Linked DNA regions of Drosophila melanogaster. The protein of the gene in region 1 interacts with the protein of each later gene in a pairwise test. Each region holds a gene or a part of one and is shown in the gene's direction. Other genes may lie near its edges. The genes, in order: CG17896, CG11380 and Kap-alpha1.

Region 1 (9,716 bases):
TTGTTGGGGCCGCCGTTGCAGTTGCGAAATCATAACGTCAGCGCACCGAATACCAACTTTGTTTACTTTATCAGCACAGTTTTGGAGAGGCCATAAAACCGTCACCAAGAATCGCACACCCGCACTCAGCGAAAAATGGCAAAGGATGTGGGGTCAGCATCGCCACATCACGTACCAAGGCCATAATATATGCGATTTTCAGGCCTAACTAGAATTAAACAGCTCATTAAATTGTGTCAGTTACCCGCTGGAGCACAAGTGGAATGTTCAGATGCCATTGGGTCACATAAAAAACCAGACAAGAGCCACAAATAACGATTCCTAGGCTAAAGAACGATGGCCGTTTAATTGTCATTACCTATACAAATTTGTAGCATCATTGCATGAATCTAAAAATAAAATTATGAAAACTATACAACCGTGCAATTTTAAACAAAATAATTAATTAAAATGTACTCAAAACATTATGGAACAGTCAATACCACGAAATGCAGGGGGAATCAAATAAACATTATGGGGCACAAAATTTCTAAGGACTGTGCTAAATTTTATTTTAAAGATTTTTATTTTGAAAGCGATAAGTTAAGATGCAGTTCTTGCCTGCTAATTAAGGGATCACAAACGCAGAGGCCAAAAGTGGGTCAAAACCTTTCGTTCACACATTCCATTTTGATTGGGAATGATTTCAGATTGATCTCGATGCTTTTTTATTTGCGGTAATCAAAAAAGACCAGCTCATTCACACAAAAGCTCGAAACAGGGAATAAAGAAAAATGGGATGGAGAGAGGGAAAGACATGTACATAGAAACAAAATGCCAAAGAGCAATTCTGCTTTTCAATATTGTAAGCTCGCTTTTGCAACAGCAATAGGTCCAAAAGTTTGGGAAATCCCACAGTAAAAACGGCAAACATTTGTTCAAGTGTATAGCTAATGACTGAATATAATGTACAAGTTGGGAAAAAAAACGCAAAGCGTATTTTTCTCTCGGTCTAGTGTGTTGTATAAACAGTTGGCCGGGCGATTCGACACTCACTTTACAATCATTTTTCCGTTCCAAAACTTGCTTTCCGTGGATTCTTGATAAGCTAGAAACAGGAGGTGACTCACCTTGGCTTTGGCGAATCCATCGGGGTTACAGGTGGGCAGGAAGTGGATTTCGGTGAGATTTAGTAGCGCCTGGACCTTCGGGTCCCCATCGTAGTGGGTGGCCAGGTATTCGGCCATATAGAGAACCATCTGACGACCCACGGCTTCATCGCCTTGTATGTTGGCCACCAGTTTAACCATTGGCCTTAGGAGATCTCCATTCTTGGACTCCCCGGTAGGTGCACTTAAGGCTAGGGCGTAGATGGGTCGATCCTCCAGGGATTTGCCTATTGTATAGGTCTGCGCCAAGTCGGGGTAATCCTTGGCTAGCTGGCTGAAAAGATCTCCTATTTCCTCGTTTTTTAGGTAGTGAGGACTCTCCAGGAAGTTGTCCTCTTCCTGGATGACCCGGACTTCGCTGTATTCTCCGACTGCGCAGCCGATGATCAAGGCTAGGCAGAAAAACAACATTTTGGGGATTCTCGGGGACTCTCCCGGAGCGCTCGCAGTTTCTGTACACGTAGGCAGGCAGCAATGCGATGATTAAGACACAAAACGCAGGCGCGCCACTTTCAACAGAAAGTGGATGCTGAATGAATGAACTATTTTCCCCAGAACCACTTTCTTGAACTTTCTTAGTGCCAATTTTTAAACTTGTGCCACAAATGTGGGCACGCCACGCACACAAACGTAAAAAAACACCGACACACCGATGCAAAGATCTACGCACACCCAGATGCGCGCACAATAGAGCTGCAGTTATTGCACTTTCTTTTCGTACACTTTTTTCGCAATGATCTTCTCGCCAGCCTAGGATGAATCAGCGTATATTCGCTTCTTAAACAACTGCCATGATACATACATTTTATTCGCAACACGGAGAATATAAATAAAATCGCAAATGAAGTCACGAAAGTACGCGAACGCAGCAGCGACCACTGTTGCCACTCGGCTGCGATCAGATGACATTGCCAGATGCGACTTAGAGGAGTTGCCAGAAGGTTGTTGTTGACAACCGGATGGCGCCAGATTTAAATATATGCGTTCCTCGTCTCCCGAGGTTTAACTAACTTTTATTTTCTCTAGAGCTCAACAAATAAATCTCCAAAAATGAAACTAACACAAGAATAACCATTGTGTGTGGCCTAAATATGTACGGTCTGTTATATATTATCTTTTAAAACGTGTCGTATCAAAAACTACCTCAAAATACTATTATGTTAAGGCAAAATTTGGAAAAGTGCATTCAGACATTCCGGTTCGTCCTAAAGAACGCATATCATCGTAAATGTTGTTTACTCTGTGTTAAGCATTGTGTTTTTGTGTTCTTAGAGCAGTGAGTTTTCGTTATTCCTGCCTATCACTGGAATAAAACACCAAAAAAAAACCTTAATTCGCATACAATGGGTGTGGTTTTCTTAATGTGTATACATGTATATAAAGTATAGGATTTTTTTCCGAGTCTAAATGCTTGGAGTGGGCTTGCGATATATAGTTACACAGTTGATTGCTTCAGATTGGTGCCAATTTAGTCCCTACATTTGCGTCCCCATTGACACATTTACCGCACCTATTCGCCAGGGAGGCCAATCAATAGGGTCATTGATTATTCATGAATACCAACCCCTGCTCCATCGAGCCCTTTCTCGGGCTTTTTGCGACCCTTCTGGGAGCTAGCTATCCGCTGTTTTAGAGTGTGAAAAGTCTGCTGCATGCTGCGCATTTGGTACCGTATGGAGCTGCTGACGTCACGCTGCAACTGCTGCACCTCGCGAATGTCCTTGCGCAGATTCTGGTACTCGTTGGTCACCTCGCTCATCGACTCGAGCAACTCGAGGACCTCCATCTCGTCCATCTGCTCCATCGTCGTCTGTTCGAGGCTGCGCTCCACCGCGTGCAGTTTGTGGGCCATCGTGTACAGCTGCGATCCTGCATTGGCCACCTTGAAGCAGAGGGAAATGTAGGTTACCTATGGATTAAGTAATTGAATTTTGGCCGCTTCCGTTCTCTCTTCAGCTTAGGGAAGCATTGAAAAGATATTCCCAGGAGAACTTATGATCAAATCCTGATAACAACATCTTAAATTAAGTTCGATAAACTTGGATTAACAGTCTACATTTAGGTACTTTGGACAAAGATCTTAAATACTCATATTTCGGCACCAACTGACAATGTGGCTTATGATTGTAATAGACCGCCATGGAGTGTCCCTAATTTCTCTCACTACACTCTGAGTGCCTATACTTCTGAATGAATAAGTGGCTATTTCTGTTTGCCTGGTCGATAAGCTCACCGATTTTTCCAGAGCGCTGATGTCCTGGTAGCCCGGCGTGGCCTCCATCTTTTCCAGATCCCAAGCTGCCTCTCGACCTCAGCCTCTTGGCATGACAGTAAGTAGTAAGTCAGCGCAGCAAGTCCATACTGCGGCAAATAACAAAATTGTTTTTGCCTAACTTAAGGCGCGTCGTCCGGAGCGCTGACAGTCCAGTCCAAGCTCTCCGAGCAGAGTGAGCGAGTCCTGCGATTGGTCCCACTATTTATATGCTCCTGCACACAAGTTGACTTCCGCATTCCGCAGCAAGAGAGGGAGCGAGAGAAAGAGCGAGTGGCAGTGCTGGTACTTCTTTAGCTTGCTTAAAAACAACGTATAAAAATATGCTATATTTAATCGAATTCTTTTTAGTATATGCTTACACTTTTCGAAGCCAATGGATTTTTTGTAAACGTTATGGATTTCAAATGACAGAACTTTTTTTTTGTAATTCCTTGATTCAACTACCGGTGGGCATCACTGAAGAGCAGAAAGGAGCTACTATTGTCCCATTGAGAGACAAAGCAAACCACTTTCTTTAAAAAAGAGAAAGCCTTTCATTTGTGTTGCATCTATTTCCATGGATTTTGTTTTCCCGGTGCAGGCTAGTCCTTTTGATTATGTTGACCAGGAAGCGGGGCTGCTAGCAAAAGCTTACCCTGCCCGATGATGAAAGCGAACTTGCTATTTTAATAGACCAAAAGCCTAAAAGCAGGCAGACAAATTTTCATTCAGAAAGTGAAAAATGCGCCAGCCTGCTTCTGTCCACACTGCGTTCCAGGAAACATTTTTAGGATTTATCTGTTCAGCTAGGAAGCACTTATCACCTAATTGATTATTTTTTCCATCCTCGGTTAAGCACTAGTATTAATATTTGATTACATTTCGTTTAAGTTCATATGTACATGTGTCCATACGTACATATGTACATATGTACATACGTTGATGGAAAAACACAAATATACTACATTGGATCCGCCGGTGTTTATAAATACCCTAAGCCAGTTCAGCATGTCTAGCATCGAAGATCCAATACACTTCCACTGTTGTACACTTAAAAAGTTGTTACAATCTAACTGGAACACATAAACTGGCTTGATTACCATAAAATTGATTAACCATAGAGTATGCATTTGGGTACTACAATACTACACTGCCGTCACCATAGCTAACATTCCCTTCCAGCAGGGAATTGACAAGAACGCAAACACCGCAAAGCAAGCACTACACTCACACACACATACTCACAACGAGCCCCCAAAAAACAGCAACAGCAACAATTGCGAAAACAGAGCAACACAAAAACAACAGCTGTGCCCCCGGTTCCTAACGGTGTGTGCGGTAGCAAGTTACATACATATGTGCGTGTACACGTGTGTGTGAGCATCAAACTATAACCACTTGCTAATGTAAAGCACTTTTTGACGTGGTCTTCGCCTTCGCCTTCGTATATCAACAATCGCCACACCATGCCAATACCACACCACACCACCATACATTACCTCAAACCTATACAGATATATGTACATATATATTTCCATTCATGTATATGTGTAGAGAACAGTGGAGAATAACTGGCATCAGAAATGGGCGGCTGCGCTGCGTTCAGTTTCAGTGTAGCCACCGTTCGGAGAGCACGCGATCCGATCCCCGCACCAAATTCTCATCTCCGTATCCCCAAGATGTCCCTAGTGCGATTGATCGGAGCAGAGGTGAGTTTCCAATTGGTGGGTGGGTGTATGTCCTATAGGCATGCTAGGCTGCCATCCTCACCCTGACATACATACATACGTGCATCCATCCATCAGCATTTGGATCGTTTTGGCGCTCTCTCTCGTTCTCTCTGACACTGGTGTGGCCGTGAATTCGGTAATTGGCGATGCGATTGGCCTTGGGCATGTAATGTATGCACTTTCGGCGCCCATCTCACACTCCACCCACTCTAGTGATTGGAATGGCCCACGGGTGTGAGCGGCGAACGGGCAGTTGAAAACAACACATGTTACGCAATACGTCGCTGCGAAGCGGAAGAAGTAGAACTAGAACCAGAATATTAAGCAGATAAAGCGCACAAGGCGAATTCGCGGGGAATTTAGCGGTACAATGTTTGAGTTGACGTTAAATCCAATAAAACGCGATAAGCGGTACCTTTCCACGACAGGCGCGCCATGAAAATCTCGAATTTGCCAGATGGACACTGATAAGCGTGGGCGGCTGCCCCCCGCGCGCCTACCACTCAAGTTATCAACACCCAAAAAAATAGACCTCACCCCACATTAAACGGATTTGTCCGGCCGTTGAGGTTAGGATTGCGAGCACTGGGCAATTTGCAAAGCAAATGAAAGGTGGACTAAATGGTAAATTTTTGGTTTAGTATACGTGGAAGTGGGAAAATAAAGTACGCTTAGCGATCGGAGTTCATACCTTTTGTACTGGCTGTTTACCAACTCTTGTCCCTCCTTTATCACCAGGCCCGCCATCTGGCAAAGAGGTCCTACTCTTCAGCCGCTCCCACAACCAAGCTCTTCATCGACGGCAAGTTCGTTGAGTCGAAGACGAACGAATGGATTGACGTGCACGATCCGGCCACCAACCAAGTGGTCACCCGCGTGCCCAAGGCCACACAGGCGGAGATGCAGGCGGCCCTTGAGTCGAACAAGAAGGCTTTTCGCTCGTGGAGCAACCAGTCGATCCTCACCCGCCAGCAGGTGATGTTCAAGCTGCAGGCTCTCATCAAGGAGAACATGGGTGAGCTGGCCAAGAACATTACCAAGGAGCAGGGCAAAACCTTGGCCGACGCAGAGGGCGACGTGCTCCGCGGCCTTCAGGTGGTGGAACATTGCTGCAGCATCCCATCTCTGCAGATGGGCGAAACCGTAGCCAACGTGGCCAGGGACATGGATACGTACTCACTAGTGCTGCCCCTCGGAGTAACCGCTGGCGTTGCGCCGTTCAATTTCCCGGCCATGATACCGCTGTGGATGTTCCCGGTGGCCATCACCACCGGTAACACTATGCTGCTGAAGCCATCGGAACGTGTGCCTGGTGCAACCATGTTGCTGATGGAGCTTCTTAACGAAGCTGGCTGTCCGCCGGGTGTCGTCAACGTAATCCATGGCCAACATGACGCTGTGAACTTCATCTGCGATGCTCCCGAAATTAAGGCAGTGTCCTTTGTGGGCTCCGACCAGGCAGGCAAGTACATTTACGAGCGGGCTGGCAAGAATGGCAAGCGGGTGCAATCTAATATGGGCGCTAAGAACCACGGCATCATCCTGGGCGATGCCAACAAGGAGAATACTTTGAACCAGTTGGCAGGTGCCGCCTTTGGAGCTGCTGGTCAGCGTTGCATGGCATTGTCTACGGCTGTCTTTGTCGGCGATGCCCAGGCATGGATTCCCGATCTGGTGGAGCGTGCCCAGAAGCTGAAGGTAAATGCCGGCCATGTACCTGGAACTGACGTGGGTCCCGTGATCAGTGCCGCCTCACGCCAACGCATTAATGACCTGATTGAGTCTGGGGTCAAGGAGGGAGCTAAGCTTATCCTGGACGGCAGGAAGATAACCGTGCCCGGATACGAGGATGGATACTTTGTGGGACCAACCATCCTAAGCGATGTTACGCCCAGCATGAAGTGCTACACTGAGGAGATCTTTGGCCCTGTGTTGGTTATCCTGAAGGCCGACACCTTGGACGATGCCATTGGCATTGTAAATGCCAATCCTTATGGAAATGGTACCGCCGTATTCACCACCAATGGAGCGGCAGCCCGCAAGTTTGTCAACGAAATTGATGCTGGTCAGGTTGGCGTGAATGTGCCAATTCCCGTGCCCCTGCCCATGTTCTCCTTTACCGGAACTCGTGGCTCTTTCCGCGGCGACCATCACTTCTATGGCAAACAGGGTATCAAATTCTACACCCAGACGAAGACGGTCACCCAGTTGTGGCGCAAAACGGATGTGACCCACACCCAGGCGGCTGTGGCCATGCCCACCATGAAATAGGCAGAACCTGAAAAGATTCTGGAGAAGATTCAGATGAAATGTTCCACGTATTGAATTTCTGGATGCTTGCACACAGGACGTATTTAGAAACTAGATACAAAGAAATTATTGCATTTATTTGTGTGCCTGTTTATTAGATTTAAGACGATTTGAGACGAAACGTGTATCTTGAAAATAATTGTATGTAAATGATAACAATTAAACGATTATTATGTAAAGAACCGTTTGAATATTTTCTTTGAAAAGTAATAAGTTTCCGTAGAATAAAACCATTTATGTTTTAGGTGTTTGTATTCACCCAAAGCAACGAAAGATGCCATTAGAAATGTTTTTTTTTTTTTTTTTTGGAAGAAAAGACATCGGTTCCTTTATGGTCAACGGTGTATATTTTACAAAGAGTTAAAAACATTTGATTTATGAACACATATCCCGGTAACAATAGCACTAGCTGGTCCACCACCAAGGAGCGGTGGGGCCACTTCTAAGCCGTTTAGTCCAACTTATCTTAAATTCCACACCCTCTTTTAGTTTCGGCTGCCGAACGCTTGGCTGGCCACCAGTTCCCGGAAGACGCCCTCCTGGATGCCCATAAGCTCGTTGTAGCTGCCCTGCTCTACAATTTTTCCGTCGCTTAAGACGGCGATTTGATCCGCATTTCGAATTGTACTGAGTCGATGGGCAATTGTCAGTACGGTGCGTCCCTGGATAAGATTGTCTAAGGCATTCTGCACCAGATTTTCCGAAACGGCGTCCAACGCACTGGTAGCTTCATCCAAAATCAGGATAGCGGGGTTCTGTGGGGGTATGAATAAGTTTACATTTAGGAAATTGTAAATTGAGTAACTAAGAATTGAATTTAGACTCCACCTTAATTAGAGCCCTGGCAATGGCTACTCTTTGCTTTTGTCCGCCACTGAGCATCATTCCCCGTTGGCCGACGAGCGTGTCTAGTCCATCCGGCAGTTGGTCGGTGAACTGGCTGACATTTGCATCTTCAATAACCTGCTGCAGTCGCTCCGGGCTCGGTGTTTCGCCAGGATTAGCGCCATAAAGAATATTCTCTCGAATGGAGCACGAGAAGAGCACCGGCTCCTGACTGACGGCACCAATGTTATTTCGCAACCACTGTGGATTCACTGTTCGCAAATCTATGCCATCCAAATGCACTGTTCCCCCTTGGGGGTCATATAGTCGGAGCATTAGCAGAGCTATCGTCGTCTTTCCAGATCCTGAACGACCCACTACCGCTGTGGTTGTTCCCGGCATCAAATTTAGCGAAAAGTCGGTGAGGACGGCCGATTCAGGTCTAGTTGGAAACGTAAAGAATACATTCTGGAATCCAACTTCGCCCACCGGCTTCTCCAACGGCACGACACCTTTGTCAATGGGTATAGAACACTCCCTGTCCAGGATCTCCCAAATACGCTCCGAGGCTCCAATGCCTTTGTTCAGTTGGCTATAGAAGTTGGACAACCCATTCATTGAGATGGCCACATAACCGGCGTACAGCATGAAGGCTGTGAGGGCTCCAATCGTCAGCGAGTCTTGTAATACCAAGGTTCCTCCATAATACAGCACTGAAATAATGATGAAGTTGCCACAGAAGCCAGTCTGAAATAAGGGATAACAGATTTTGATGATTTTCCTAAGTACCTTTCCTTTAGGTCTTACCAATCCAAAGAAAATAGCTCTGGCACGTGTCTCTTTGTAGCCAATCTGGAGAGCTTCATCCAGTTTGCCATCGAAGGCAGCTACTTCCTGTTGTTCTCGGCAGAAGGTCTTAACCGTTTTAACATTACCAAATCGCTCCTCCGCAAACTTCATAATCTCGGCGTACTTGTCTAGTTCTACTTTGGTGATCCGCCTTACGTAGCGTCCGTACACGATGGCCATGCCCGCCATCGCGGGAACCACCAAGGCACTCACGGCAGCCAACTGGGGGGAGGTGTAGATCTGCAATGAAAGAACTGGATAAAATAAGGTTTTGGGCAGTGCAAACCACTTTTTGTTATATCATACCATCATGCCTGTGCCGACGCCGATCATGGCTACAGATCGCAGACCATCCGATACGTTCTGGCTCAACGAGGTGCCCACCATTAAGGTATCGTTGCTCAGCCGATTTATTAGTTCTCCAGTGCCCTTGGTATCGAACCAACCCACCTCCTGCATAAGCATAGATCTGTATAGCCGGGATCTTAGACTGCGCACTATTCGGAGAGCTGAAACGAGAAACAGGTAGACATAAGACCTATATGAATTGGTTCTTATAACGTATGCTTTGTATAAAGCGAATAAGTGGTCAAAATAAAC
Region 2 (12,400 bases), 700 kb from region 1:
ACAAAGAAAAGCACTGGGAAATCCCCTACCCGCCCTTTTGCAATTTCGAGCTAAATTAAAAGTGGTCGAACGCAATTAAACGCATCAATAGGCGCTGGTGGGCGTGCCCGTCCGTTCGCAGTTTAGAGAAAGGCGCCAAAACTAAACCTTTCACCGAAGTCAAAATTGCAAAAGACACACTTCTCATTCAAAGAGCCAAGCCAAGTTGCGAATACACTTGCTGATAATTGATTGTGATATAATGTTGTTGATATGGGCCCTTCTAATGTTTGCCCCTTTTGTACTTCTCCCACTTTCAACAGGTGTTGCCCCAACTGATTCTTCTATTCGTCGTTTTGATCAACGATGTCCACGGCATCCTGCCACCTTCTGGCTACGACGACGATACATCGCCACTGCCACTCCGCCTTGACGACTTGGAACGGGACCACCTGCAGCAGTTGGACCTCAATCGGCCGCCACTTCTGCCCAATCACTACGAATGGCACCCGGATGTGGCCGCCAGTCTGCCGCCCAGCTACATTCAGGAGGCCGCCCAACGGGATCGGGAGCGCGAGCGTGATCTCGAGCGTAATCGGCGACTGGAGGAGCTGCGTCAGCTGCAGCAGCAGCATCAGCAGCTGAGTTCGGGCTACGCCTTTCCTGCCCACCTGCCAGGTGTGCTCTATGTGTGAGTATTGGCTACAAGCGAGCTTTACTAGTTTCTTTAAACTTTTCTGGGCATAAAACTGGGTAAGGAAAAGCCCAAGTTTTAGCTGAGACCAAAACGAGTTCCCCAAACGAAAAGCTCTGAGCTTTGAAGTTTAAATTAGAGACTGGAAATTGTTACAAAAAAAAAAAATCATAAGACAGAATCAGATAAATTGAAAACAATTATTACAAAAGAAAAAACATAAAGCTGAATTTTCCAATGGCAATGAATAGTTCGAAGATTTGAATTATACCATATTTTATTTCACATCGAGAATCTACGCTCGAGAATTGAGCAGTGTCTTCAAAGTAGTATTCATAAATAAAAGCCGTAGCAGTCAATACCAATGTTCACTTAACACCCGACCGAGGATCATAATGGTTGCCCCTTTAATGGCCAACTGATTGAGGCAACTAGCCCTCAATCAGGCTCTTGATTGACACGTAAATTACCGCTTGAGAAGATTGCAAATTGGCAATGGAAATGCTAATCGTAATGGCGACGGAAAGGAGCCGTTATTTTGGGCCCAATGATCGCTTTCAGCCAACTTCGGATGGCCAAATTAGTTAGTTAGTGGCTAAAAGTGTTGAAAAGGCAGCATTTCACTTACAGCCGCATTAGCTTCCGACAAATGAAGCAAATGATTGCTGTAATTTAAAGGACTTAATCCGTTCGCTAATCAGCTTCTCTTCGTTTTTTCCAGTGGTCCCACAGCTGCCACGCCCACTCCCACGCCCTCGGCAGCGACGACGAAAGTGGCCTCTTCTGCAACTCCATTTGCCAATCCCATAGTTCCCTACGACTTGGAACTGGGGCTGCGCCCCATTCCATATGTAACCAGTAATGCCCTGCCCCTTCCAGTGCCACGCCCCCTTCCGCCACCCCATGCCCGAGCGCCGTTCATCTACGGATTTACCGCCCAGGGCAACCGAGCAACCAGCCACAAGCTGCCGGGTCAGCCCCTGCTGGTCCAGCAGTCCAAACAGTTCGCCTACGCTCCCGCTCAGCCCCCCCAGCGGCACTACGCGAATGGGCCACGGGTTCCGATACCGTATCCCCCAAGCTTTGTGAGCTTCACCACTCGGAGACCGGGTTCGGAGCGTATCAGGCCATTCCGGCCATCGCAACCGGATCCCACGCCCGATTTGTTTGCTGGACGCTCCTCGAAATCATTGATCGACTCGTACATTCCCAGCTGGGAGGTACTGCGCCTGATCAGACAGCACCAGCCGCAGCAAGGATTCACGCCCATCGCACGCCAAACACTCGCGTATCCCGCTCCGGCGCACTTGAGGCTCTACAAGCGAGATTCCCAGGAGGACCGGTCGAGAATCGTCAAGGAAACCTTACCCGAACCTTAGAGTTCGAGTTCGGGCTTAGCGTACGATTTAATTTTTTGTTTCTTAATTTACCTACAAATACGAATATTTATTGCCGCAAAAATGAGATTGTATTTTGTTAAACCTTATAATGGGGTCTTTTGGTGTCATTACGGGTTCGAATGTTTATGAATATAGAACCGATTGCCATCAGTCTCGTGATGAAATTAGTTTTCTCCTAAAGTCATAAAGTTGATCGGTGATCACATAACAGCATACACATGGCCAACAAGCCGCATCCCCAGCTCTGCAACTCTTCAGCTCGCCATTTAAGCCAGGCCAGTCCAGGCCATCGCGGGCCAAAAGCGAAGCCAATCGCATCAAATGTGCAATATGTGACTTTGTCAATGAGCCAGTTGAGCCCCAAAGCCACCGATTCGATTCCTTGGACTCTCCCCCAGAGGTTTTACTCACGTAATCGCGGCCATAAACCAAACAGCCAGCAATAACAAACAATTACGGTGCGATGCCACTCGGAGTGGCCACAAAATTATGATTTGTGTGGCAGTGTGCGGAGATGCGGAGATGCGGAGATGCAGAGATGCGGCTTCGAAATCCACGAGACAGAAGACACGAGACTGAAAGACGGACAGGTGGAGATTTATGCAAGTAGGAAGCGAAGATGCTGCAGTTGCAACTTGCGAATTTCGAGTTGTGGCAGTTGTTTGTGTTGCCGTTTTTTTTTTTTTTTTTCGTTTCGTTTCGCTGAGCTGCGCTTCTTTTGGCCATCTCATGGCTGTTAATGAAGCACAAAATTGCTGCATTGTTTGTCACCCATTAAATATGCAGACGACAGACGGAAAATAAGGATGATAATGATGATGATGACGGGCAGCCCTGCCCTGCTTTAAAGGGTATTTCCTGGCTGCCGTTCATTCCGGTGATGGCGAAGACCACACTGAGAGAAATAGCATATAAAATCTCGATGTTTCTGTCGCATTATAGAGAACTGTATTGAGCCAAAGCCAGTGACCTTCTCGTGGGGTCACATCTCGCTCCAGTTGAACGAGCCGAAATAAATCGTCTGCTCGATCGTAAATACGCATTCGAATTGATAAAGAAAGGGTCGCGCTTTGTGGAGGATGCCCACGGTCAGCCTTCTCGATTTTGGCTTTGTGTGCGATGCGATCCGTAGGCCTCTTCATCAGCATGGGACTTGCCCGGCACAATAAATAATCATAATGCCGCATTATGACGGCTGACTAAGTGACATTGTTGCACCTCTGAACAATGAGCCATGGCTAGTTGAATTGTTGAAATCGAGCTAACGTTGAGGTTCGGCCGCTTGGTTTGGCAATGCTTTCTTAGCCGCGGCTTTGATTCGCTCCGGTCATTGTTGGCATCGGAATTGGGCGGAATCGAATGGATCGGAGTGCCCGAGCACAAAAGAGCATCGAACTGGCGGGCTGACCAGCATTTCAATTGCGTATTCTCCTTATCGATGCGCGACCATCAATGGGAACTTAATCGAAATAGCTAGCCGACAGAGGGAGACCCTAAAGGAGGAGAGTCAAAGCGATTAAACATCACCTATTTCAACCTAAATGGACAAACATGTTTCGATTCTTTGTCCACATGCACTTTCTTCACCATGTCACTTTCGGAGATTGTCGACGACCCTGAAACGGCCAACACATTTCGAATGCAAGGGTACCACCAGGCGGCAAAAACACTTTCGACAGTGCCGCCTCGTGATTGCGAATGATGTTTTTGGGTTTTAGCTTGCAGTGTTCAGTTATCTACGGCCTTTTATCGTTATCTCGGTCCGCTTAGTGTCGTGTCTTGTGTCTTTTGACAAAATGGATTACCAAATCCCACCAGCGACGATCCGAACACAAACGCCACTCTTGTTATGCCATTTCTCCTTTGGCGCTGGGCAAAGCCAAAAGCGAAAAGCCACTCCAAATCCCAGGCCAAGCCCAAGCGAAAACAACTTAATGCGCCAATTAAAGTGCCACTACTCGCGGACCTCCGGCACTCTCTTTTTTTCCCATCTGGATGGGATGCTCTGCAATTGTTTTCATGCAAATTTCAGTTTCTGTTTCGATTGGTTTGTGGCTTTATGCGGGCCAGCGGAATACAGAAATAATAATAATAATGAACCCAAAACGTATTCACCCGAAATGAAAGGCCCCGGAATCGGTCTTTTGAGTCCAGGCCTTTGTCATAAGCCAAAGTTACGCCAATATTTTTATGGCTTTGAACTTGAACTGGAAAAGCCAAGACAAAAGCGTCGCCGTTTTGTCCCCAAAGAAATTGGAAAGGTTTCCCAGTTCCCTCCATATCTGGTTATCTACTATACAATCATATATATAAATATATATATATATGGCCCTTTGTGAAAGATTGCTCTCCCATGGCGAATCAAGGTCGATCATCTATGATTCTCAGCACGGGAAGCTCCATGCCTAGATGGCAATGGAAACTATTCAATGAACAAAGTGGGCAGGAATATTTAAACGGGCACATCTGTAACATCTCCCCTACTCGTATTCCAGTGCCTCAAACTACATCTTCCCAATTCCGCAACTTTTTTTTCTCCGCATTTTATCTCTCTGTATCTGACCAGCATCTAAAGTACTCCAGCACTTTGTTTACAGTTGCGGCAATCCCAGGCAACCTACACCTTCAGTCACACACAGCTACGTGCGGTGTCATTGGTGGTGAACTTCGGTCTTCTTTTCCCGATCCCCGGTCCACAATACGCCTTCGCCTTCGCCTTTGGCTTTGGTTTCAGCTTTAGCTTCAGCTTCAGCTTCAGCTTCAAAAATTCAACTTCAACTCCAACTCCGAAGCCGATATTCCAGCTTGATGCAACCCGAAGACCAAGTTGTTATGCTGTGCTTGCGATATAAAAACCGCGAGCATCGCCAGCGCCATCCGCAGTAAGAGGCGCGACTTTTGAACGCTAGCACCGCTCCGATTCCGATTCCGACTACGAATCTGAGACGAAAATCAAAACCAAATTCGTATAGACACTATAACCAACATAACTTAAACCCACCAGCCCGGCCGTGTACCCTTGGTATTTTTTGTTTTTGTGGTTCTCGAAGACACAAATGTATTGAAAAGTGCATATATTATTACATATAACATATAACGTCAATATCAAATTCGGATTTTGTGAAAAAGTCGCTGTGCATGCGCATTGATACCTGGAATCGCCATGAGATTAGCGTTAATATTGGTAAGAGTAGGAGTAAGATTATACAATCTCCTTTAGAAAACCCGGAAAATAGACCCACCCACCAATCGAATTGTGCAATTTGTGCGGGATAAAAACTAGTCGTCGGCTGACAAATTAATTTGCATTCAAGTGGTGCAGTGCTGGCCAAGCCGGCTTAGAAAGTGGTTGCAGTTCAACCAACTCGACCAGGTGTACGATACAATGAACTCCCAACTCCCGCTGTCTATGGTGTCTCCATATCTCGATAATCTTGACCTTTTCACTCGCTCCACTGACTCCTGCCCTTCGGCTTCTCGGCTATCTGACCCTGCCCTTGCCCACTTTGCCAGTCCGTGTCCAGATCCATCTATCAAGCAGCACGATGGAGGAGTAGTGGGGTTGAGTTGCGTCAATCGCCCACTAATTGGACGCTAAGATGGTAGAATCACAAATCTGGCGATTGCCGAAGTGGCCAGCAGAGATTCGTTTACGCAAATGTGCACACTGAACGAAATTAAGGGGTGGTAGGTGGTAAAGTGTCTTCACATTGAATCAAGCGGCTATAAATATTTATTTGCATTACTCATAAAAGAAATCATCTTGTGATATATTAAGTAAGTAAGTTTTGAACCAACGTACTAAAGTACCTAAATGTCAGGCAATAGCGTGTATTTAATTTATAAGGGCACTTTACAACTATGTCAACAAAGAAGTTCGAACGAGAAGCTTAATTTAACTTTTATTAATATTCGTACATATTGTTAGTCTATCCACATATTTGGATGTAGTCTTTTCCTTCGCAGCGCTGGAAAGACTCGTTTTCTGGAGTCGCCACTCGTGTGGTTACATAAAGTTATTACGCCCCATCCGATGGGGGAGAAGGCGCCGCTCAGCCACTGGCAGGATAATCTGTAGACGTCTAATTTACATTTTATTGTTGTGCTTGGCTTTGATGTTGCAGCAGCTGCTGTGCTGCTGCTGCTGCTGCTGCTGCTGCTGCTGCTGGTGATGCAACAACGAAAGTGAAACAATAACTAACACACCGCAGCACACAAACTGGGCAAAAATCCAAGTCCGACTAATTTGCACGCGTTGCGTGACGATCGTTTGCCCCGACTTGCCGTTGTTTGTAGCTCGTAATTTGCAATGCGGGAATGGGAATCTCATCTCTGGCGCAAAATCGCCCACCAACCCGTCCACTCGGTTCGATTCTTTGTGCGGCAAGTGAAAGGCAAGGCGACTTCGGGACTTGATGCAATTAAATTAAATTATTACAGAAAATAATTGGTAAAGATAAATCAATACGAAGACAGATCTAACTAGTTGCTGCTCTGCTCCTTCTGTATGAGCGGTGGAGGTTACATAAAAGCAGTTCGCTCTTCGGGTCCCACAGCTCATGCTAGCATTTGACAAAAATCCGCAGCTATTCGCTGTTGCGGCTGACTTGTGGCAAGGCGAGTGTGCCAAAAAAAAAACTCTTCCTGCTTAACGACTAGGCTAAATAACAACTGCTACATAAGCAACCAGCAGTAAAGAGACGACAACGACTATTAAAATGACTTGACACACTGTCCTAGTTTCGGGTAACATAACACACACACTCACTTACTCACTCACTCACTGGATAATCGAGTCACAAAGTGCAATTAAAACTTAACTAACCAAGCGAAGTACGAAATTATTGCTGCACATGGAAAACTGGGAGAGGCGCATGCTGCAATTATGGCATGCAAAGTCAGTAAACTATTTTGCTACTTGGAGGGCTAATTCGATTTGAACCGTAAATCTGAAATTAAAGAGTAATGATCAGTAATGACAAGAACCTAGCCTAAACTGGATTAAATGAAACATTATCAGGCTAATAACCCATAATTCGCATGTATCAGTAACAGTTAGCGACCGTAACCCATAATCGTCACCCAGATAATCATCATTTGATCGATGAAAACCGAACCATTAGTGTTATCTACCACCATTTGCGAATCAAATGACTGAAGGCACGAACTGCGGACAAGCGCTAAAATGAAAAGACTCAAGACACGAACTCAAAGACATCGAGATTCAATTACAACACCAATTCGCCTGACGAAATGTCAAATGTGAAACCTCTTCTCAGCGTGTGTTGTGCATCGAATGGCTTAACGATCGATATTGAGAGCGATAGATGGACCACAGCTTTTGTCTCCAACTCCCCCTTTGTCACCCTCTATTGTCTTTGCCTCTTACCTTGAGCCCGAACCAAGATTGGCCAAAACGAAACCAACAATTTTCACAATTTGATTTGAGTTGATTCCGACAACGAACCTAATGTCTTTCCAGCTTTGGAACATTTTTAAATCGTTACAAATTCTTGAAAAGCTAACTTCGATAGACTTCCTGTTTGTTTCAACTCGCAAGCTGGTAGCTAAGCTTTAAATAATATCAAAAAAGCAATTCCTTTAGTTAAATGTATAAGTCCTATAAAATTGATAAACATTTTACCTTGTGTTTGTCTATATTTCACAGGGCACTCTTAGTGCTATAGTGTGCTTGGCCAGCAGCTTGAGCCAGTCAGAGGCGAGTGGCTCAAAGGGCAATGGATTTCCCAAAAAGGTTACCACCCTGAAGAAGCGACCAACAAAAACGCCGACCACAGTTCCGATTTCCATCAGCAGAGCAACCACTTTGAAGCCCAGTAAGCCACGCGTGAAGATCGGCACATCGGCAACCACCAAGAGCCCCACGAAAGCACCGGCCTTAACCGAGACATTTGGCAATCTGCCGGCGGATGACCTGGAATTCATTAAGGAGCTGGACAAGCAGTTCAAACTGCACGGAAACAAGATCAAGATCAAGGTGGAGAGGGATAATTCCACGAGTAGCGGCGGCAAGAACAGCAAGAGGACCATCGAGGGGGATTTGGGGTGAGACCATGGATGACAGCATTTTGACTGACCAGATATTAACCCATCTAACTTCTATATCCAAACAGATACGGCTACTCGCATCCTGGCTATGATTACACGCCGCCCAAGTTCATGTTCTATCCATACTCACAGCATGATATTCCCTCGGGCTTTGCCCTTCCACAGCCACATCCGGAGGAGCAGGAGGAGGAGGCACACCAGCCGGCAATGCAACATCATCACAATCACGAGCAAGTGACCAGCGTGACCATTGAGCCCTCGTACTCCTACGAGCTTAAGCCCCAGACCAGCTATGAAACCCAACCGCAGCACACAGCTCCCGAGCAGCCGCAGATTGATCTGCCCCAGGATGAAGCGGAAAGTCCCAGTGGTGCAGGTGGTTCCAGTGGCCACGGGGGATATCAGGAGCCCGTCATTGTCTTGCGTATTCCAGGACCCGCCAAGTACGCCGCCCATTTGCAGACCCTTCTCCAGCAATATCTGGAGATCAGAGCGGCCCAGTACCTCAGCTTGCTCCAGGAGGCCGATCAGCAGCAACAACAACAGCAGCATCAGCATGTGGATCCTTCGCAGCAATATGGACCACCAGAACCGGCCACCTACCATCAGGAAGTCAGCTACGCCCACCAACTGGCACCCACGCCGGCACCCGTCCAGTACGCACCCATCGATGATGTCTACCAGAGCTACAAGGGTCGCCACCAGCAACAGCTGCAGCTGCAGCAGCAACAATATGAGCCGCAACAATACTACGCGCCCATGGACTACCAGCAGCCCACACAGTTCTACTACGCTCAGCCCCAATCCCATTTGCAGCAGCAGCCTCAGCTCTATCTGATAGCAATGGCCCAGCCGGAAACGGAACCGGAGCCGCAACCACAGCAGCACCATCATCAGCAGCACCATCATCATCTTCAGCAGCAGCAGCAGCAGCAGCAACCAATATACGTTCCAGAATCTGATCCACCGACGGGTCCTTCAGGTGGTCCTGAACAGGAACCGGAGGCGGACCACAGCCTTCCCATAACGGAAAACAACCCACGACCCACCCACACCAAGGTCATTTTTAATCCGTACCCCTACCAGCAGCAGCAGCATCAACCGCAACAGCAGACCACCAACATCGAGGAGCACCAGCACCAGCCTGAGGGCGAACGCCCCTTCAACTACCACGCCCATGCGATCAAGATGCGCCAGGGCAAAAGGGCGGCCAAGCCGGAACCCGCGGATGGGGACGTGGGTCCCAGTTCGGGCGACAAGGGACTCCAACAGATCAGGGAGTATGTGAGGGAGAAACTGGGCGCTGAAATGGGTTCGGCTGTCGAATACAAGACGACACAGCTGCTCGAGGGCTGAGGTCTGGATAAATGTTCAGATGTTCGAAGGCATGGAAACTCATTTGACCGAACGCACTATCTCTGCCTGGATGAACTAAACCAATTTTTAAACTTGGCAATCTTCAAACGATTTTATCAAAGGTTTTTTCGGATGCCTTAGAATTCTAGAATTAAATTTTAAATCGCTTACGCACGTTTTCTATGTATATATCCAGGCAAGCCATCTTTAAAACAAATTCAAACATCCGTACATTATGAATATGGGGATCAAGTCCAGCAAGACAGTAAAATTCCAGTGAGTGCCATGCCCACGTTCACTCGTATTCTTAACACACAATTTGTGGTTGCTTCTTGTGCCTGATATCCGCTCATTAGTATTTATTCCAAGCTAGAGGAGCAGAACGATCCCGGGGTGATCCTCCAGCTCCAAATCTCATCCAACACCTACCCGCAATCCCTGAGCTACACAGCCAAGGCATACTTTTGGCCGGAAAAGAGGGCGCCTAAAGATAGGCATAGTTTTCTTTTCTTAGCGAAGAGGTGCTGCCGGGACACATTCGCTTTTCATTATTTTGTACGACGTTTTTTTTTATGTTGTTTATATTGTTAACCAAGAAAATGTGCTGCTGATCATGTGTGCAATATTTAGTCTTAATGTGCTTCTTGATTTACCTATATTATGTACTTGTATTTTTGTATGATTAAACCGAAAAGAAATTAATTTGAAAACCAAATAACTCTTTCCATTTTATTCGAATATTTGGCCAATTCACGGAAGTCACGCAGCAAAGCCATAAAAATAGCATCAAATCCGGCGTAACTGAAGTACTAAAAGCTGAACGATTTTGACACGAGTGTTACAACAAATTTTTGTTAAATTAAATACACCGAATTGTTAGCAGGCACGCAATTGGAAAATGCGGGGAAAATCCCGGAGGAAATTTGCGAGGATGATGGCCCTCGCCATTCCAAAGAGTTCTCTTTTCCCTATCAAGTCAAGTAGTTAGCATGGCAAGAGTTCTGGGTGTGTGACTATACCTGTAGTTCAGCGCAACAAGATCCTCAAATGCACAGCATCATTGTACATAAAATAAGTTTATATGATCTGTGCTACACAGTGGCTGCTTGTTGTGGAGTGGTTTCTGGTGAAGCTGACGTTTTATGGGTCCATTGTTGGGACGTAGCAATCGTTTATTCAGATCTTAAAGCAGGTGCTTTTCACTTTTTCGGCACAGCGAAAGGAAGTACTGGATGATTGATAAGATTCCGGGACAGGGAAAAGACCCTGATTCCCTGAATGGCCTTACTTTGAAAGCAAATTGGAAGGCTTCCCAAAGGTTCAAACAAAACAATGTGATCGACGGCGCACTTCTGAATTCCCCGTGCAAAATGGCCAGGCGTAGAGATCACCATCCCGATGGGAGGAGGAGGTACGGCATTGGGAATGCAAATGCAAATGCAAATGCAAGTGACGAATGAAAATGCGAATCTGCCAGTGAGTGCGGAAGCTGCCGACCGCTTTTTAATTTGAGTGGAAAGTAGTCGACAGGCGCTGCCGCATTTCAAAATTATAGAAATTGGCACAATTTACCATCCATTGCGGCAGCTGATTATGCTAATTGTTTGTCAGTAGTATCTCGAATCTTTACGTAAACATCCATGTGGCAAGATGGATGTGGCAAAAAGGAAGAGACCGCCATGTGAAAGTACTGGGCTTGTTGGGGCGGCAAATCGTAGCAAATTACAGTAGATGACTGGTGCACTAGATTAAGTCGGACTTAAGTAGGTTTCTGTCACTTTATTTGCCGTAAAGTGAGTTCTGATCTCTCTGGCCAGAACTTGCGTTTTTTAGCAGCAGAAGAGGTCACTTTTCAGATCTAAACGATCATCTTGAAAGAAAATACCAGCTCCGGCTATAAACAACTAATTGCTTTACAATGTGTGGCAGGGTGGGAGATGAAAGATGTAAGCAATCCGATCCACAAACATAACATTTTTCAGCATTGTCGAAGCGTTGCAGCTGCCACAGTGCAGCAAAGGCAATAGGAAAGTTAAAGAAATAAATAAATGCTGATCGGTGTATGAAGATGTATGAGATGAAGAACTTAAATACATTTACGATACATTTCAAGCCGCAGTTAAATCTTTGATTGAATTAGTTAAATTGAATTAAAAACCCAATCCTTGGCAAATCAATTGGTATTGAGACTGTTCATCTGGTGCGGCTGCCACAGCTGTTTCTTTGGCAGCTGGCAGCTGGTAGTGGATTTGGTAGTTTCTGCAGTTTTTGGCCGCATAACGGGGCATGGATAGCCATGGCTATATGTATCTATGTACCTATGGCAATCGCACTCGACTGCTGACAAGGTTGTTGATCTGCACATATGTGGAGGAGCCGAAACGCTTTGCCAGCTTTGTTTTGCTTTGCTTTAGCCGCTGCAAAGTTGTTTCGCTTTTATTATTACGGCTATTATCGTTAGTGTTAAGTGTGGCAATTGTTTCATTTTCAGTTTCAGTTTCGTTTTTCGCTTCTCATGCAGAATATTAAAATATAAATCATACGCCCTGTGGGCCAGCGCCATAGTCCGCAATAAAGAAATCCCCGGCCAGCACGTAAGGGAAATCAATGAAATGCCAATTGGCAAGTTATTCCAAGGCGTACTCCCAGTTCTCTAAGTCCGGATCTCTTTATCGAAATTGAAATCATCGCTGTTGGTTTTCGGCAACGGCAATTGCTGCTGCTCTTTCGGTAAAATCATCATAAATCAGCGAACACTTTTCTCCGTTTGTCTGGGCTCCTTGTTAATTATTATGCACTGAATCAGTGACCATGAAGCCAACCACCGAGTGAAGATCTGCCACGACCAACCACCGACTGCCCGCAATGTAAACACTGTGAGAATACAGCAAATGGGGAAATT
Region 3 (10,154 bases), on another chromosome or scaffold:
ATCGATCAGAGTGAGATTGGTTAGACTGGGTAGCTCCAGGAGGAGCTGCATGATGTGGCCCCTGTCCCCACTTTTCGGCGGCGACTCTGTAACGGCGTGCATAAATATGATGACTGCCTGTCGCAGTTTGGGGCAGTGCCGTCCCAGGAGCCCCAGAAAGGGGTAGGTAAACGGCTCATCCCAGCTACCATGGGGCACTTCGCACCTGGACACTTCGGAACCGCACAGCTGCAGCAGGAACTCCCAGTCCGGAATGGTTTTCAGAAGCCGCACATTGATTTTTTTGTGGCGCGTTCGCAAAATGTCCGTCAGTACAACCTGGAATAGTGGATGGGCCCGGCCCAGATTTAGCTGGTCCTCCAGCACATTTATATATGAAAATATCTGATGGTAGCAGTCGTAGTTGAGATCCAGGAAACCGGGTCCCCCACTCATACTCTGCGGTCTTCCGACCAGGAAGGAGAAGGGGCAGCCTAATCCCAGTTTGTCCATTGTCCTGAAACTATTTTGCAGTTCAACTGTTTCCAAGTTGATAATACGATATTTCCCGTTTTTATGCGGCTTATATCGTAATAAATCTGCTATCGATAACATAACGGAGCAGCTGATGTTAAATTTTAAGTTTGAAGACTTTTTGGTTATTCCCTTTTTTTTTTAAATTTGTAATTAATAAATTTAATTATTTTACTTTTGTATGTAAGACCTTCATAGCATTTCAGGAGCAGATTCCCGAATTCGCCAGATATTTTTATCACGCCAGCATCTACTCCATTTGGAGATCTCTGCGAAATCGTTTTATGTTCGTTTACACTAAAGAGTTTGAGGACAAAAAAGATAGTTATCTGTCCGGTTATATATTCCAAGGTAGGATAAGTGCAGTGAATTGAAATAATTACACATGCTCACCATTTGAATTGCTAGATCAACCTAACATCTTGGTAATTACTTCACAATACCTGAACTCAAGCACTTTTGAAATTAAAACGAACCGATTTGTCGGTCCGCGAAACTTTAACAAAAACCCGGAGCCTGTTGAGTTTTACATACTCCAGCGTTTCGATGCCAAGGGTACGAAAGCTACTTGGGAAACCCAGAGTGCAATGTCCAGCAAGATGCGAAACCTCAAGGGACGCGAGGTAGTCATAGGCATCTTCGACTACAAGCCTTTTATGCTATTGGATTATGTGAGTTTTAATAAGTTTTCGCTACCAGAATATATCGCAGTAATTCCAGTTATGTGAGTTAGGAAAAGCCACCATTATATTATGATCGTTTTATGAACACGACGGATGTAACCATTGATGGAACAGATATTCAACTAATGCTCATTTTCTGCGAGTTGTACAACTGCACCATTCAGGTGGACACATGTAGGTAATTAAATACATTCAACTAAAGCTTATTGTCAAGGCAATCCACAGCTGAACCATACGACTGGGGTGACATCTACTTGAATGCCTCGGGCTATGGTCTGGTTGGAATGATCCTCGATAGACGAAACGATTACGGAGTAGGGGGCATGTATTTGTGGTAAAACTCTTGATTAATCAATCAAACATTTTGAAAAGTAAACCATTCCATCGCTTTCTAGGTACGAGGCGTACGAGTATATGGACATGACTCATTTTCTGGGACGATCTGGAGTAACCTGTCTGGTGCCCGCTCCGAACCGTTTAATCAGCTGGACGCTCCTGCTCCGACCATTCCAGTTTGTCCTCTGGATGTGCGTGATGCTCTGCCTTCTGCTCGAGAGCTTAGCTCTTGGTATAACCCGTCGCTGGGAACACTCGTCGGTTGCGGCAGGCAATTCCTGGATCAGTAGTCTGCGCTTCGGTTGCATCAGTACGCTGAAACTTTTCGTAAATCAGAGCACCAATTATGTGACCAGCTCGTATGCTCTAAGAACCGTCCTAGTGGCCAGCTACATGATCGACATTATATTGACCACTGTGTACAGTGGCGGTCTGGCGGCCATCCTCACTTTGCCCACTTTAGAGGAAGCGGCGGACTCTCGCCAACGTCTCTTCGACCATAAGCTCATTTGGACGGGGACTTCACAGGCCTGGATTACCACCATTGACGAGCGATCGGCCGACGTAAGCCCTACAAAATTAAATTTATTAGTACATTTTTTAAGATTCTTATTTATGCAGCCAGTTCTTCTTGGTTTAATGGAGCATTACCGAGTTTACGATGCCAATTTAATATCCGCCTTCTCGCACACGGAGCAAATGGGATTTGTCGTCGAGCGCCTTCAGTTTGGTCATTTGGGCAACACCGAGCTAATAGAAAACGATGCCCTAAAGCGGCTGAAACTTATGGTGGATGATATTTACTTTGCATTTACGGTGGCGTTTGTGCCGCGACTGTGGCCGCACTTAAATGCCTACAACGACTTCATTCTGGCTTGGCATTCCTCGGGCTTTGACAAATTCTGGGAATGGAAGATCGCCGCCGAATACATGAATGCGCACCGCCAAAATCGCATCGTGGCATCTGAGAAAACGAACCTAGATATAGGACCTGTTAAACTTGGCATTGATAATTTTATTGGCCTAATCCTGCTTTGGTGCTTCGGCATGATTTGTAGCCTTCTGACATTTCTCGGAGAACTCTGGAGGGGACAGGGGTAGTTTAATTGTTTTTATTTTCTATATACATCTACAATATCAAAACTAAACTGAAACATGGAAGTATATTTACATATAAGATATGATTTAAAGATGGACGCGGCAAGGTAGTTGCCCGCGAAATCCTCCGCCTGCACCGTTGTTGCAAGGGGATGTCAACGTGGCACGTTGCTGCTCACGTAGTAGCTAAAGTGTGTTGCGGCGAGTTGCTGCCCACAACACAGTCACCTCGTTGTCGCCTCTGTAGCTGTGGTGTGGTACAGAGTGCGGATCAGGACCAGGTGGTGGCCACGATCGGTGACTATAGCTGAAGTGACCAACTGGAATAAGCCGGTAGCAGGGTCGTAGCTCCGACTTGATATTCACGGCAGGTATCTTACGATAACATCACTTTATTTCGGCTGTCAGTTCAGAACTAAGTAATACAAAGAAAGATTACCCTATCTCGCACAAATCACGGCCGCCGACCAGCATCCGAAGTATAGCTTCGTGTGTCGTTCGTCGTCACACGCAGCTTTTCCTGATGTTACTTGTTAACTTATATATTTATCATCGAGAGCCAACAAAATTCTCTTTATTTATTGCTTTATAAGCTTTGTAAAAAGATTTTGAATAGTGTCTTTCAGTTTAACTCAAATGGAGCACCTGATCAGTAACTCGAGTAATTAAAGGATCCAGCTCGTGGTCCCCCAACTCCTGGTCCCACAGATCGTACAGAGTATCCGTGGCTAGATTGACGGAGTTGTTCACGGCGGTTGTGTTGAATGTTCGAAGGGAGAGGAAGATGACTGCATCCTCCACCAGAGGGCTGTAGGTATCGCAGATTGTGTGCAGGGCTCGAGCTCCATTCGGCGCAATCTGTAATAAGAAAGCTTTCAGAATATTGCAGAACGAAAGAATTCAGGGTAATCACTTCATTTAGGTTCACTATTAAAAAAACCTTTCCATCGTTGATTTTTGATTTGAATTGTTCAATCGCCAAACCGTATTCCTTCATGTGCTCCTTCTTCATGTGAATCAGCTTTCGGGGACCACCTGTTCAAATGGCGAGCGCATAGTGGGTTACATTAGAAATTTTAAATGAATATTGCGCTTTTCTTACCAAAGCACATTGAAGCCTCAATGGCAATTTCATCGATCAGTTTCTCCAGCTTTGGATCCTGGTGCAGGAACAAAAATACACTGGGGTGCTTGTCCTTTTTGTTAATCAGCCCCTCGATCCCCTTTTGCAGGGCTCTCCATACTTTTTCCTGCTGCTGGGGATACTTTGTCCTGAGATCCTTAAAGTCACACTGTTTCTCCTCTATAATGCTGGATCCGTACCCATAGACAACCAATAAACCAAATAGAACACCGGCAAGCGCTAGTTTAATACCGATGCCGTTGTGATGTTCATTGATAGAATTGTGCTGCTCCTGCCTTGAACTCGGCCTAGAAGTTGAAATACTGCGTCTTCTGGACTGATCGGTGGGTTTGGGAATACTGGGTTCGTCATGGGATTCACTTTCTTCCAGTTCGTCGGCCGAAGATGTCCCTTCCTCGTAGCTTTGTACCGGCTGCCTATTGTAGGAGTGGTCCTGGTCCACATCGTCCTTTGACTGGGAAAGAGCCCCAGGTTCGTTACCATGCAGTGGTCGTCTCGCCAGATTACTCATTGTTATTACAATTAGAACTGCTTTCAATTGAATAGTAAGAAGAATATAAAAAATGCTGAGAAGCTCAAAACAATATATCGATATCCAAAAACTGTATCGATTGTTCCTATAAAAAATGCCGAAGGAATAAAAATATATCGCAAAACATCCAATAATTTCCAACATTGTAAAATCAAAATTGATTATAAATTTAAAGGAAATATGAAAGAATCAATTTATCAAATAGTTTATTCCGATATATCCCAGACTTAGGGATACGACTTTAAAGATTAAACACAATATGTACAGAGTATGTATATTAGCTTAAATTAAGTCCTACTTAATCCTGATTAACTATTCTACTCCGCCGTTGGAACCGTATTCAGAGTAAGGCGTCGTAGCCTGCCCAATACGAAGATTTCGTCTATAGCTTTTTTGGCATAGAATTTTTGGTCCTCGCTGAGTTTGCGGTACTCAAGGGACCAGGTCTGTGCATAAACATTGGACTCCTCGACCCCACTTGCGTCGAGTGGTAGCGCGATCTCGGGAATGTCCGGAATACGGGCTGAAGCTGCAGTGGAATCTCCGCCGCTGACCGCTTCCCCCACAAAGGCGGCAACATCGGCAGGAGAGGGTTTTGTTTCCAACTCATCCGACATGGATTGTTGGTCATCATGTTCCTCATGATGCTCCTGGTCCGTCTCCTCCTTTCTGTCGTTGGATTCGCCCTTGGAATTGTAGCAGCAGAATGCCTGTTTCTTGAGATACTGCAGGTGACACCGGTGACGCCTCAGGTTCGTTGTGGATTTGTGGGTGAAGGACATAATGCTCCTGCAGCCGATGCAGAACAGTACGTGCTCCAGAAAGCTACCATCGTCCTTCTTGATCTTGCGATACACCCGCCACACAGTGCTCCGTGTGCTTTTGTCATTAACAGCCAATTGGTAGACGCCGGTTTCAATTTTCTCGTGAATATCATCGAATTTTAGCGGCATCTTGAATTATTTTGCTATTTTGTTTTGTTTTGTTCAACTAGTCTTTATCATCCACATCGATTGTCCATAATCGTGCTAATCGATTGCACCGCCCAGGTGGCAACCCCGATTAGAGGCACATTGCGCCGGCAATTTTACATATATCATTTTGTTTTTATTATTTTTTAAAGTGTTTTCTTGTTTTCCTACCTGGTTTAAATGGCGGCATTGTGCTTAGACTTTCTCGGCTTCCAGGTGGGGGTTGGAATATTGTTGTTTGGGTTAGTAGCCGGCATACTAAATGGCTTTAAGTTTCCAAACAGGAGGCACTGAAGAAGATGCGAGATGTGGACGACAAGATTATATATGCACTAAATGCCCTGCCAACGGAGTCGTTTAAGGGTCAAGTGAACAGTGAAAGCACCTGTCGCGATCTGTACGCGAAGCTCCAGGAGTCACACTTGGCCAGGGTAAATCCTGATTAAGTACAACACACGGGGATCTTGACAGATAGCTTCTCCTTGCAGCAAGAAAGCATACGCAGTTGCATAACAATTTCGGCTAGTAATCTGAAGAAGCTAAGGGAAAAGCGGGAGACCCAGCCGGATGATGTGGATACGGATAACCAGTTTAGGGCGGAGCAGCGCAAGGTAACCGAAATACCTAAGTCTTACTCTTAACTGATGCCTATGATCCTTTCCAGCTGCGGGTTCTCCAGGCCGAGCTCAATGTCGAGGACATCATTAAAGATCGTTCCTACAAGACCTTCAATGAACGATGCCGGTCCTATTTTCATGCTGGCCAATAGGTGGAACAAATGCAATGACTAGTTTTAGGTGGATTTATTAGCAGAAGTCTCATGGAACTGCCAAGCCAGAAGGCATTTACATGCACTCCGTTGTATTACAAGTTGTTTACAACAAGTACATAAATATAACAGTCTAAAAAGCACAAACTTTATTCGTCGCGGGGCAGGTTGTATGTAGCGTAAACCGATCCGACGGGTACGCATTTTAGGTTGGCCAAGGCTTCCAGGACGCGCTGGGTGGCATCCTTTAGGTCGTTGTACTCGTGCAGCAGTTCAATGATCTTCTTTTTCTGACCCTCTGACGTTTCATTTGTCTTATTGGCCGTTTTGCGCGACTTTTTCTTATTTTCTTTCATGTTTAAATTAAATGCAATTGGATTGGAATTACTGCTATCGGTTGATATCGCTATCGATAGCGCGTCAGCTGTGTGCATTGCATTTTGACAGTCCGGCATCCCCGTTCCTCACAACGTGTAAAATCTCCCGTCCCCTTGCATGATTAAGACGAGAAAAGGATTCTCCGGAACAGGTAAATTGTGTTCTAATTACGTATCTGAAGGCGCCTCTTCTAACCAGGAGTTGTGGTGGCTCAAAGAAGGGCGTAACCGGAGACCAGCGAATGGCTCATGCTGGCTGACCTAAGCCCGCACCTATACGCACAAACGCAAAGCAGCCGTGTGTGCACATATGTACATACACGTACAATGAAATGTGAAAGTGTTGTGATTGTGCATTTTGCCAGGAAAACTGAATAGTTCATTAAATGTGAACCTATTATATGTAAATTATTCGCCTGACAACGTAATCTTTATGTTTCCGGAAATGTAAAATTAGCCTAGAGCAGGCGCTAAGCGAATGTTCAGTGGTTACAGGGCGTAATAATCCTGGTGGGAGTGGATGAGAACATTGGGGAACACCTAGTGATGATTATAAACGTTCAATTCAACTAGTTCGCATTCCACGACGACCTCTACCTATATTTTCTAGATTATTTGCACTTTCGTTTAGCATTTGATCACAGTAGCGGCGAAAATCAAGTCGCACTCACTTTTTATCTGAAACCTGTCTTTACGACTTAAATTATTCTGTTCTCAAAGAAATATTTTTTTTAACTATTTCAAGCTTTTGAATTGCCAAGACGACGAAATGTCTGCCAGCCACAAACAGCGTTATAAAAATGCCGCCTTGGACTCCACAGAGATGCGTCGTCGTCGCGAGGAGGTGGGCATCCAGTTGCGAAAAAACAAACGCGAACAGCAGCTCTTTAAGCGACGCAATGTGGTTCTTGAGCCGGCTACATCCTCAACATCAGCCGGAGTGGAGAGCAACACCGATAACGAACAGCAGGTATATTTTGATCAAGTTTGGCCTGATAGCATAGTCTTAACTATCTCTCCATTCCAATGCAGGCTGCCGACATGCACATGGCTGACAGCAGCACTGGCGGTCAAAACGAGGAAGCTGCTGGAAGCGGGGCACAGCCATCCGTAATCAACGAGGAAATGATTCAAATGCTCTTCAGTGGACGTGAAAACGAACAGCTTGAGGCGACTCAAAAGTTCCGCAAACTGCTGTCCCGCGATCCCAATCCTCCCATTGAGGAAGTCATCCAGAAGGGGATAGTGCCACAGTTTGTCACCTTTTTGCGAAATAGCGCAAATGCCACGCTGCAGTTCGAGGCCGCCTGGACGCTAACGAACATCGCATCGGGCACCTCGCAACAGACCAAGGTGGTTATCGAGGCCGGGGCAGTGCCTATCTTCATTGATTTGCTCTCCAGTCCCCATGATGATGTTCAGGAACAGGCCGTGTGGGCCCTAGGCAACATAGCCGGTGACTCACCCATGTGTCGAGACCATTTGCTCGGCTCCGGCATTCTAGAGCCTCTCCTGCAGTAAGTTATAAATAATTATATTGATAAGATTGCGCCAAAGTAGGTGTGACTTCTTGCAGTGTATTGAGCAACTCGGATCGCATTACCATGATACGGAATGCGGTGTGGACACTTTCAAACTTGTGCCGCGGCAAAAGCCCTCCCGCAGACTTTGCCAAAATTAGCCATGGTCTACCAATACTGGCACGGTTGCTGAAGTACACTGATGCGGATGTACTAAGCGATACTTGCTGGGCCATAGGCTACCTGTCAGATGGTCCCAATGATAAAATCCAGGCTGTAATTGATGCGGGTGTTTGCCGTCGCCTGGTTGAGCTGCTATTGTAAGTAGTCCTGCTGCGCCATTACAAATTAAAATTACACTTATGATTTGTTGACCTATCCTGGCAGACATCCTCAGCAGAACGTGAGCACAGCTGCTCTGAGGGCCGTGGGCAATATTGTGACAGGCGACGATCAGCAGACCCAGGTGATATTGGGGTACAACGCTTTGACCTGCATTAGCCACCTGCTGCATTCGACGGCGGAAACAATCAAGAAGGAGTCGTGCTGGACAATCTCAAATATTGCAGCCGGCAATCGTGAGCAGATCCAGGCCTTAATCAATGCCAACATATTCCCGCAGCTGATGGTTATCATGCAGACGGCCGAATTTAAGACTCGCAAGGAGGCCGCATGGGCCATTACCAACGCAACCAGCAGCGGTACGCACGAACAGATCCACTACCTGGTGCAGGTTGGCTGTGTGCCGCCCATGTGCGATTTTCTCACCGTCGTCGACTCGGACATCGTCCAAGTGGCGCTAAATGCACTTGAAAACATTTTGAAGGCAGGTGAAAAGTTCCAGACGCGACCAAATCCCTATGCTATTACCATCGAGGAATGCGGAGGTAACGCTATTTATTTTTACTTTCAAATTTCCATTTAAATATCGATTCTGTTAATATTATATAGGTTTGGACAAAATAGAGTATCTGCAGGCGCATGAAAACCGCGACATCTACCACAAATCATTTTACATTATCGAACAGTACTTCGGCAACGAAGAGGAGGATAGCCGGGTGGCTCCCGTGGCAGGCACGCAACAGTTTGAGTTCGATCCGGACAACATGCCCAGCACCGGATTTAACTTTTAGCACCCTACCGCGCAGGACATCGTTTAACTATTCAAATACGAATCCCTCAAGTCCTAAACACACAGAAGCATATGCAACAGGAAGCGAAGCCTTGCCGCCGGGATTTAAATGAAGGCGGCCAGAGCACGGACATGAAAAATAGACCGCATGAGAAGGCGTCTGCCTTGCCCAAGTGCAGTCACTACTAGCATTTAAGGAAAGATGGTCGTTCGGTCGGCTCGTTTCTTTGTTACAATCACTCACCTGCTTATTGTATCAGCGTTTAGTTCTATAATTTTCGAAGTGGTCCAGGACCAGGCATGACGAGATTGCTTTCATTTAGTTCGATTGTACTAATTTAATATGTTATACAGAACCCATTGTATATGTTTTTGCTTTCCTCAAATTGAGTCTGTAAATATTTTCCATTTTATATATATATTTTCCAGCCCAAGTACGATGAGATCCTCACATGGTGTTGTTATACATTCTGATTCATTTGATCATTTTGTTATGCGAATCGCCGAATGTAAATTTGTTTAAATTATAAAGCATTGTAATTTAATTTAGAGGACATCAATAAACAACATCTAGACCACAGCTATGCAGATTGGCATAAGTTTTTATTGAATCTTTAAGCTTATAATATCCTCATGTGTAAATAATTTTCGGAATCCTTGGAAATATCCTAGTGGATTCAGCACCATATCTCTTGACCTATAATACCGACACCATCGACTCCAGTCACGAACTTAGGTGCGCTTGACGAACTGCACCTTGTATGGTTTTGGAGTAAGCGTAATCCCAGGCAGAAGCACCATTGATGGAGACTCTCCCGCCGGCAGGACAACGCTAAAATGCTGCACGATCCGCACTAGAAACGAGAAGATGCAGGCACGGGCGAGGGCATCGCCCAGACAACGGCGTCTGCCCATGCCGAAGGGCATGAAGTACTCGTCCTTGAAGCACTTGCCAGCCGAATCGATGAACCTCTCTGGGCGGAACTCCAGCGGATCCTTCCAGTGCTCCTTATCGAGATGCACTGAACGTAGGCTAATCAGAATTGTGGCATTTTTCGGAATGTCGTAGCCACCCAGCT

What was found.
Region 2: the proteins of CG17896 (region 1) and CG11380 interact in a two-hybrid assay, tested with the Drosophila melanogaster proteins (one large-scale study listed by BioGRID).
Region 3: the proteins of CG17896 (region 1) and Kap-alpha1 interact in a two-hybrid assay, tested with the Drosophila melanogaster proteins (one large-scale study listed by BioGRID).

The regions. Positions count from the first base shown.
Region 1 is NC_004354.4:488,783-498,498, reverse strand, and holds CG17896 (uncharacterized protein), read left to right. Parts: upstream 1-5,003; 5' UTR 5,004-5,081; coding exon 5,082-5,111; intron 5,112-5,475; exon of another isoform or gene 5,476-5,753; coding exon of another isoform or gene 5,754-5,756; intron 5,757-5,870; coding exon 5,871-7,403; 3' UTR 7,404-7,712; downstream 7,713-9,716. Other genes in the region: CG17778 (uncharacterized protein), read right to left, coding at 2,695-3,030, 3,382-3,429; CG3156 (uncharacterized protein), read right to left, coding at 7,928-8,197, 8,271-9,014, 9,075-9,356, 9,423-9,625. UniProt on the Drosophila melanogaster protein: Probable malonate and methylmalonate semialdehyde dehydrogenase involved in the catabolism of valine, thymine, and compounds catabolized by way of beta-alanine, including uracil and cytidine.
Region 2 is NC_004354.4:1,186,457-1,198,856, forward strand, and holds CG11380 (uncharacterized protein), read left to right. Parts: upstream 1-4,851; 5' UTR 4,852-5,236; coding exon 5,237-5,257; intron 5,258-7,741; coding exon 7,742-8,139; intron 8,140-8,207; coding exon 8,208-9,498; 3' UTR 9,499-10,204; downstream 10,205-12,400. Other genes in the region: CG14626 (uncharacterized protein), read left to right, coding at 303-670, 1,395-2,052.
Region 3 is NT_037436.4:19,800,745-19,810,898, forward strand, and holds Kap-alpha1 (karyopherin alpha1), read left to right. Parts: upstream 1-6,487; 5' UTR 6,488-6,575; intron 6,576-7,168; 5' UTR 7,169-7,192; coding exon 7,193-7,393; intron 7,394-7,455; coding exon 7,456-7,940; intron 7,941-7,999; coding exon 8,000-8,263; intron 8,264-8,330; coding exon 8,331-8,830; intron 8,831-8,894; coding exon 8,895-9,076; 3' UTR 9,077-9,654; downstream 9,655-10,154. Other genes in the region: Ir76a (ionotropic receptor 76a), read left to right, coding at 702-864, 922-1,184, 1,247-1,370, 1,422-1,530, 1,592-2,096, 2,154-2,633; CG14102 (uncharacterized protein), read right to left, coding at 1-492; TORIP (torsin interacting protein), read right to left, coding at 3,258-3,488, 3,544-3,665, 3,733-4,285; CG34116 (uncharacterized protein), read right to left, coding at 4,624-5,259; Ccdc58 (Coiled-coil domain-containing 58), read left to right, coding at 5,458-5,493, 5,562-5,708, 5,766-5,888, 5,942-6,046; CG14104 (uncharacterized protein), read right to left, coding at 6,196-6,402; Cyp305a1 (cytochrome P450 305a1), read right to left, coding at 9,808-10,154.